Linked DNA regions of Drosophila melanogaster. The protein of the gene in region 2 purifies or fractionates together with the protein of the main gene of each other region. This does not show direct contact. Each region holds a gene or a part of one and is shown on either strand. Other genes may lie near its edges.

Region 1 (3,803 bases), 9.3 Mb from region 2:
GTTGGCGTCCTTTTTCAAAAATTAAACACAACGCTGGCCATGCCACGCCCCTCGGTCGCCCACCGCCCCCATTTTCCGACAAGGCTAAACCAAAAAAAAAAAATCATAGAAATAGGAATCAAGACTCAAGAGCAAAAAGATGAAATGAAAATAAAAAGAAATGTCATTTATCACAATATAAAATTGTATGCTAAATAACACGGAATGACCTGAATTAGAAGCACAAAAACCTTTATGAACAATCTTATGTCAGGTTAATAAATCAAATATTTTACGATGATGTACATATATACTATGGTAACTTATAATTTGCTATTCAAAATATTTAGAAAATATATTTACTCTTAGGCATTTTATGGAAGAGCTAAACCTAAAATATGTGCCAAGGTAAAACAATCAATTTAATATCGTATGTATTTTCATGGCCAACTGCAATCGGTCGAAAAAAAATTTCCAAAAATTTCCAATCAACATATCCATGAAATTAAATGTCAAGCCGAAAAATCGAGGTACCCCAGCCGGAGCTCCAGATTATCAGTTATATTTTAGATCCCAAACAGTAAACACCGTTCAGCGGAGCAAAATTTTGTACAACTTTTATTTGGTCAAAAAAAAAAAAATCGAAAGAAAAACTGTTTCTTTTTCACCACTTTCCCAAATTATTTGTATTTAGGATTTACTCAACCGCAACTCACAATATGTCGAATTCGTTTTCGTACTGGAATGGCCAGCCGTTGAATGCTCCCGTTTATCCGCAGATGGGTGACTTCATGCAGCACTCTGCCGCTGGAGCAGCCGCTCCACCACCACTATCAGCAACAGCAGCAGCACCAGGATTAGGATCAGCCGGCGGACTAGGAGGTTGGCCTAGCCAGGGCGCAGCTCAGGCACACTCCATGCTACCATACGCCGGAGGAGCCGGTGGCATGCCGGCTGCCATGCCGGGTGCCATGCCGGGCGTCATGCCGGGTGCCATGTCGGGTGCCATGCCGGGTGCCATGCCGGGTGCCATGTCGTGTGGCATGCCCATTACAGGAGCCCAGCATATAGTGCCGCCACCCGTGGACCGTTCAATATATGGAGACATACCCGGACGAAATGAACCGTGCATCGACAATGGCGAAGCCTTCTGCGCCTACAACGGCATGGACATGAGCATGAACTACGGCGGAGGCAGTGCATCCAAGGGTGGCTTCTGGTAGGATCGATGCCACGAACAATGACAGCACGAGCATCTTCACCGAACGACTAAAGTGAATCGCATATGGGCCATATACATACACAATTAGTTTTCGAACCAAACGTCCGTTTTGTGCAGCTCAAACGACTCGTACTTGGCGAAAATGTATAAAATAAATGTCATAAATCCATAAGATATGAAAATAATCAGTTGGCACAAATCGGTGGGTGGGTTAATTGCATTAATAAATACAGAGATGAGTTAACGTGCGGCAAATTGAATGTGAGAAGAGCGTTGTAAACTCAAATCGCATATATTTTATATGCTAATTACTAAATAGGCAAAATGTGATGTATGGCAAAGGTTACTATTGTTATTTTCACTCGGCAGTCAAATATTGAAGTTTTATTTTTTATACAAATAATTAAAGCACAAATCAAGCTTACATTGTAAATATTTCGATTTTTCTATTTAGTTTAAACAAATCAAATTTAAATAACTAGGTGCAAACCATTTATAAGATTAATAGACCCAATTTTCCACCGTATGATTATCTTGAGCACTTCGTATAAATATATGTTCTTGAGATTCGCATTGTAAAGTACAAAAAACAATACAAGTTTCATCGTTTCTAACTATGCAAATACAACGCCTGCCGCCCCTTTTGTCGTATCACAGGGCGTGGCTGATTGTCACAGTGATGAGATGGCAATTTCTCAACACGCTAACGAGATGCACTTACAAAAAAATGGGTATGCCCATTGGGAAATTATTCTTAAAAAAAGATTCGATGATTTATACTAAAATTACATGAATTTAGCATAATCGTAATGTTACCAAGTCATTATATATTTATTCTATTGTTTGGCTCGAACTTTTCTCTCAGTGTACTAGGCTAGAACTCGTTTGGAGAGCGCACGCAACCATCGCAGCGATATATAAAGTGGATCTTCTGGCCGAGATTCGAGTAATCATCGTTGAAATCGCAATCGAAAATCATGGAACGCTGGCAGAATCGCGTGGCCGTCGTCACTGGCGCCAGTTCGGGCATCGGATCGGCCATAGCCAAGGATCTGGTCCTAGCCGGAATGACGGTGGTGGGTCTGGCCCGACGTGTCGATCGCGTCAAGGAGCTGCAGAGGGAGCTGCCGGCGGAGAAGCGCGGCAAACTTTTTGCCCTCTACTGCGACGTGGGCAACGAGAGTTCCGTAAACGAGGCCTTCGATTGGATCATCCAAAAGTTGGGCGCCATCGATGTGCTGGTCAACAATGCCGGCACCCTGCAACCCGGCTATCTGGTGGACATGAATCCGGCCGTAATGCAGCAGGTATTGCAGACGAACATCATGGGCATCGTGCTGTGCACCCAGCGAGCGGTGCGTTCCATGCGGGAGCGCAAGTTCGACGGCCATGTGGTGCTCATCAATAGCATCCTGGGGCACAAGACCATGACGGCCACGGAGGGCGTGGCGCCCGATGTGAACGTCTATCCGCCCAGCAAGCATGCAGTTACAGCGCTGGCCGAAGGATATCGCCAGGAGTTCTTCGGCCTGGGCACCCGCATCAAGATTACGGTTGGTTCGCTTTCCATTTTCCACTTTCTTCGGATTGAACATTTTTCTAACCCCTTTTTGGCTTTTTCCGCCAACGTAGAGCGTCAGTCCGGGCGTGGTGGACACGGAGATCGTGCCGGACAGCATTAGGGAGGCCATCAAGGATCGAATGCTCCACTCCGAGGACATCGCACAGGGAGTGCTGTACGCCATCGCCACACCGCCACATGTCCAGGTGCACGAGCTGATCATCAAGCCACTTGGCGAGACCATGTAGGCGGAGGAGCTTCAGGAGCTCTGTTCTTTTTTTTTTTTGTATTTTTCCTCTTCATCTTAATATTTTTGCCGTGACAGAAAATATGAAGCACCATATTCACACAATTTTCGTAGACAGTTTAATATTCACAGTTAAGCTATACACGTTGCAATAAAACTATTTAAATTTAAATTTAGTAAGTCGGTTTAATTTACTTAAATTTGAAATTGAAATTCCCTGTCTTGAGCAGTAACAACACATGCAATGAATGCGATAAATAAATGGGAATGCATTTCCATGGGTAAACGGAAAATTGAAAATCCAGCCGTAAGTGAAAAAGTATGGTAAACATATATACGTATGTATTTACTATATAGGAAATGCGAGCAATGGCAAATGACTTTCCGCATAATGGGGCTGGCTGGCAACTAATTGCCAATGGCCCTAATGGCTTTAATTGACAATTTTTGTTGTTTTTTCTTTTTTTTTTTTTAGCTGGCCAAAAAAGAGCACAATTGAAATTTGACACAGAAAAGGCGAGCAATAAATGGGAAAATAAGGCAAGCAAGCCATCCTGCACAAATGGAATTCTCTGTGGTCAAAGAGTGTCATGTGCAATTGGGCATCTTCGAGCAATAGCTTCATTCGAGGAGGAAACCGAGTCATTAGAGCGTTCCGCTTCTTCCAGCTTCCTGTGCACTGGGAAAAAATACTAATCGCTCTGCGAATTTTGTTCGAAGAAAAACCAAACTGCTATGAAAAGTGCCTGCCTGAAACTTGGCACAGCAAAATCGAATATTAACAGGAAATGCCC
Region 2 (4,166 bases):
CCAGGCAACTGTGCTCCCAAAAGCTTTAAAAATTGTTTGAAATATTTTTAAAGTATTTCTGAAAAGGATCTTATTTGTTTTTGGTTTTTTTTCAGGTGCGAGGCAGCCCACGGGATCGCTATGTGCATGCTGCGCGAGATGCGCTCTTCGGGCTTCAAGATTCCCGAGATCAAGGAATGAGGCCATGGAGCTGCTCGCTGGCCCACCATTGCATGTTCTCCCTCCCTTTTTTTTTTGTTAGTGATTCAGTTCGATTTAATTACCAAAGCTAGAGAACTTGGAGTGGTTTCCCAAACTAATAAAGCGCCCAACCAACAAGTTACGAATTATGCATATTTATCGGGTGGGAATCACATATGTAGTACGTAATCCCGTAGTTGGAACTGCGAAAGATTGTGTTTTTTATTGTGCAAAAATGGGAAATAAATTACTGTATATATAGATTTATTCAAATCAATTGCGAGTGAGCAACTAAAACTTGATCTAGTACTAGAAAATCGTATAACTAGTATTTAATATATAATTATATTGCCTAATAGATTGTGCATTTTCGGTTAAAATTATCTGAGAAATCATTGTAGCTAAGATTATGGCCAAAATATGCGAGACACCTTCTTTCTACTCGTAGTTAAGATCTCAAGTGGTAGTTGGTGGTGGTGTCCATGGCGCGGAGATGTCCTCTACCAGACCAGCTTTACGTTGTTGCGCTCCAGCTGGCGACTGATGCACTGGTTGAAGAGGTGGGCCACCTCGCAGGGGTTCTTCGAGGAGATGCCGCGGCTGCAGGCCTGCGCCATGCTGGAGCTAACGGCGATGGCCATCTTGTTGTCCTGGGTCACCAGGCTGGTCAGCTTCTCCACCTGGCCAACGTTCAGCTTGTTGTCGGCGTCCATCTGGGTGCGAATGAGAAGTATTAGTGACCTTTTAGTTCTGGTTGTGACAAACGTCCGGCTACTCACCAACTTGATCTTCTTGAGCACGCACTCCACCAGGCACTTCTCCTTCTCACTTGGATTGGTCACCTTCCCCAGCGGTCGCTGGTCCCTGGGCAGCTGCAGCTTCTGGATGCACTCCATCCTGGCCGCGGTGACCAGCTCCTGCACCTGCGGCAAGTTGCGATCGATTACCGCCCAGATGGGCTCCGTTCCGGTCTTGGGCAGCAGCTTGGCGAGATCGAAAGCCTGGGTCTGGCCACGGACGCAGTGCGTCTGCAGCAGGACAGCGACCACTATCGTCATTAGCGGAATGGCTGCGACTGGAGTGGATGGCTTCATCTTGGCAGCTGCTTTCTCTTTGGCTCTGCTCTTGCTTGGCCCCTTGGCTTATAAGCTGACCCATGACCTCACACCATAGTCGTCTGCACATGGCATCGTCGCTTGATTTTGCTGATTGCAAGCATTTCTCCAGTGCCAAGTTCATCACCCAAGTTCGTCACCCGCACAAGTCACGCTCCAAAGACGATATTTGACATCGCCAACGCTATCCAGCGATGTGTCAGTTCACTCGAGACAATGACAATATCGGATTAATGTAGATCTTCAATCTGGAAACCTGATAGGTCTATCAAAGTACCAAGGTTTGTAAGGTATATTCATTTTTGGAATAATACATTTGAAAATATCAATGTTAATTAAAATGAAAGTAAGCCATTTGCTCGCAACCGAATTATTTAGATATATACATATATTATCAATCGGACTTATTTGTTGGATGATTTACCATGTACATATATGTATAATACTCGATCACACAGACTTCCGACCTGTTAAAGATCTTAATGGGGCTAGTAAGCCCCACTCAATCCAATTGGAATAAAAATTAGCATGCAACATGCTCACACGATGCAATCCGATTCCATCTATTGGATTCCACAATAATATAGATTGCGTGCTAAAATCTCCACTCGATGGATGGACAAACAGACTGACTGGATGGAACTCAGATAGCGATCGTTGGCACTCGGAATGATCAGAAAGTCGGCAGGCTGACGGGCAAACTGGGAAATAGGCGGACAGATGAAGGGTATATTATGGCCTAAACGGCCAATTTGGCAGGCGGCAACCGCAGTTCCCAGTTCGCCCAGTTCCATATAATTGTATAATCGCTCGATGGCCCCGCCAGTCACAATCACTCATCTCACCCAGAGCTGTTGATCGATTTAATTACAAGCGGGATTTCTCATCTCTCATTTTGCATTTAGCATTTTGCATTTTCATTTCCATTTCCACTAGCCATAGCCATTCCCAATTCTATATCCCCGGCATTTGCAGCGATTTCATGCCAGTCACCAATTAAGCAGGTAAGTGGAGATCGGTGGGCCATCTCATCTGGCAGCGGCAGTTCCAGCGGGGTGTCACTCGTTCACACGATGCCCAGTCGAGGGCATCTCCGCCGGATTCCGTCCCATCCCGTCCAGAGCGGCGGAGTGAAGTGGAGTGCCATGTGCCATGTGCTGCCCATGTAGTTCATAATTGCGCGTAATTGCCGGAGCTGCTTGAGACGCAGCTGGAGATCGGCGATGGATCCGATCTGCCAAATCAATCACGGGACTCGGCTTAGGCAATAGCTCCTATAAAACGCCGACGTTGCCGGCGATTCGCATCCAAGTCAGAGTTCGCACGTCGCGCAGTTCAATCGCAAATCGAAATGTCGCATCTGGTTCACCTGACCGTCCTGCTCCTAGTGGGCATCCTCTGCCTGGGCGCCACCAGCGCCAAGCCGCACGAGGAGATCAACAGGGACCACGCCGCCGAGCTGGCCAACGAGTGCAAGGCTGAGACGGGAGCCACCGATGGTGAGTCAGATGGTCATCAGTGCAGAAAATTCAGTAGGGAATACAGCTGTCAGCGTACCACTCCTACCTGTGGTGGATGTGTTAGGATAGTTATTGTGCAATTATCAATCATATGATATATCGCTTACAGAGGATGTGGAGCAGCTGATGAGCCACGACCTGCCCGAGAGACACGAGGCCAAGTGCCTGCGCGCCTGCGTGATGAAAAAGCTGCAGATAGTGAGTGCTGCTGCTCCGGCAGGAAGTGTGATCCACTCACCACCACCCATTCCATTCTCCCTCCCATTGCAGATGGATGAATCCGGTAAGCTGAACAAGGAACACGCCATCGAGTTGGTCAAGGTCATGAGCAAGCACGATGCAGAGAAGGAAGACGCTCCCGCCGAGGTGGTGGCCAAGTGCGAGGCCATCGAGACACCCGAGGATCAGTGAGTAGTGCTCGCCGGAAGCTGTTGGCTCAAATCCGGACTATAATCATGCTGCCATTTTCAGTTGCGACGCTGCCTTCGCCTACGAGGAATGCATTTACGAGCAAATGAAGGAGCATGGACTCGAGCTGGAGGAGCACTGAGAACAGATTTGAGACCCATGACGACCCCCCGTTACTGTATCACAAGCGCCCTTCTGGAATATAACCATCTTTTTTTTTTATGTGTATACTATGAATTAAGTACTTGATAAACTGAGAAACTGCAGGCTTGATTGTTTGTTGGATTGTGAAGGGGGATTCGTATGGGTGTGGTTATCCTCCAAGACTCCTCGGGACCCATAATTTACTAATAAAAAATTCTTGCTCAATTTCGACGATTATATTACAATCTTTATTATTATAAATACAAGTACATTTTTTTGTATATCATCTCCCAATCTGGGGCATATTTAAAAGATTCTTACTCACTATTTATTAATGCACGATGTTCTTCGTACCTGGGTTTCTCCAGGTGATATCCTGCGGAGAAGGGACCCAGCCAGGGATGCGCGTTCGCTCTCGGCTCCCCTAAATATGTCCTAGCTTAGCCGACTTAACGCAATCTGTCGGTAAAAATATCTATTTGCTCAACTTGGGCTCCTAGTATAGTATGCTGCCCAAGCCCAGGGAATTCGTGTCGAGAAGACGGCGGCTCCGATTGCGGTCCGTCTACGCAAGGCGAATTCTCAGGGTCTTGGGCTATGGTCATTAAACCTATTAGTTAGTAGCTAGATGAGGTGCACAGGTCATACGCGATCTGCATGGCTGATCTCTACATGTTTTGAAAACAGCCATTAAAAGATCGCGCAAATAGCCTGATTAAACACAGGTAGAGGTAAACAGATGGTAAAAAAAATTTAAATATCTTAGTTGAACCAAAAAAGCAAATAAGTCTAACTGAAC

Evidence for each region.
Region 1: the proteins of Obp19d (region 2) and Antdh purify together in Drosophila melanogaster (affinity purification with mass spectrometry, with the first as the bait; one large-scale study listed by BioGRID). This does not show direct contact.

What each region holds. Positions count from the first base shown.
Region 1 is NC_004354.4:11,167,405-11,171,207, reverse strand, and holds Antdh (antennal dehydrogenase), read left to right. Parts: upstream 1-2,149; 5' UTR 2,150-2,178; coding exon 2,179-2,754; intron 2,755-2,833; coding exon 2,834-3,010; 3' UTR 3,011-3,178; downstream 3,179-3,803. Other genes in the region: CG1394 (uncharacterized protein), read left to right, coding at 699-1,202.
Region 2 is NC_004354.4:20,417,492-20,421,657, forward strand, and holds Obp19d (Odorant-binding protein 19d), read left to right. Parts: upstream 1-2,121; 5' UTR 2,122-2,646; coding exon 2,647-2,794; intron 2,795-2,924; coding exon 2,925-3,013; intron 3,014-3,085; coding exon 3,086-3,222; intron 3,223-3,286; coding exon 3,287-3,365; 3' UTR 3,366-3,488; downstream 3,489-4,166. Other genes in the region: Obp19b (Odorant-binding protein 19b), read left to right, coding at 96-180; Obp19c (Odorant-binding protein 19c), read right to left, coding at 681-893, 960-1,274.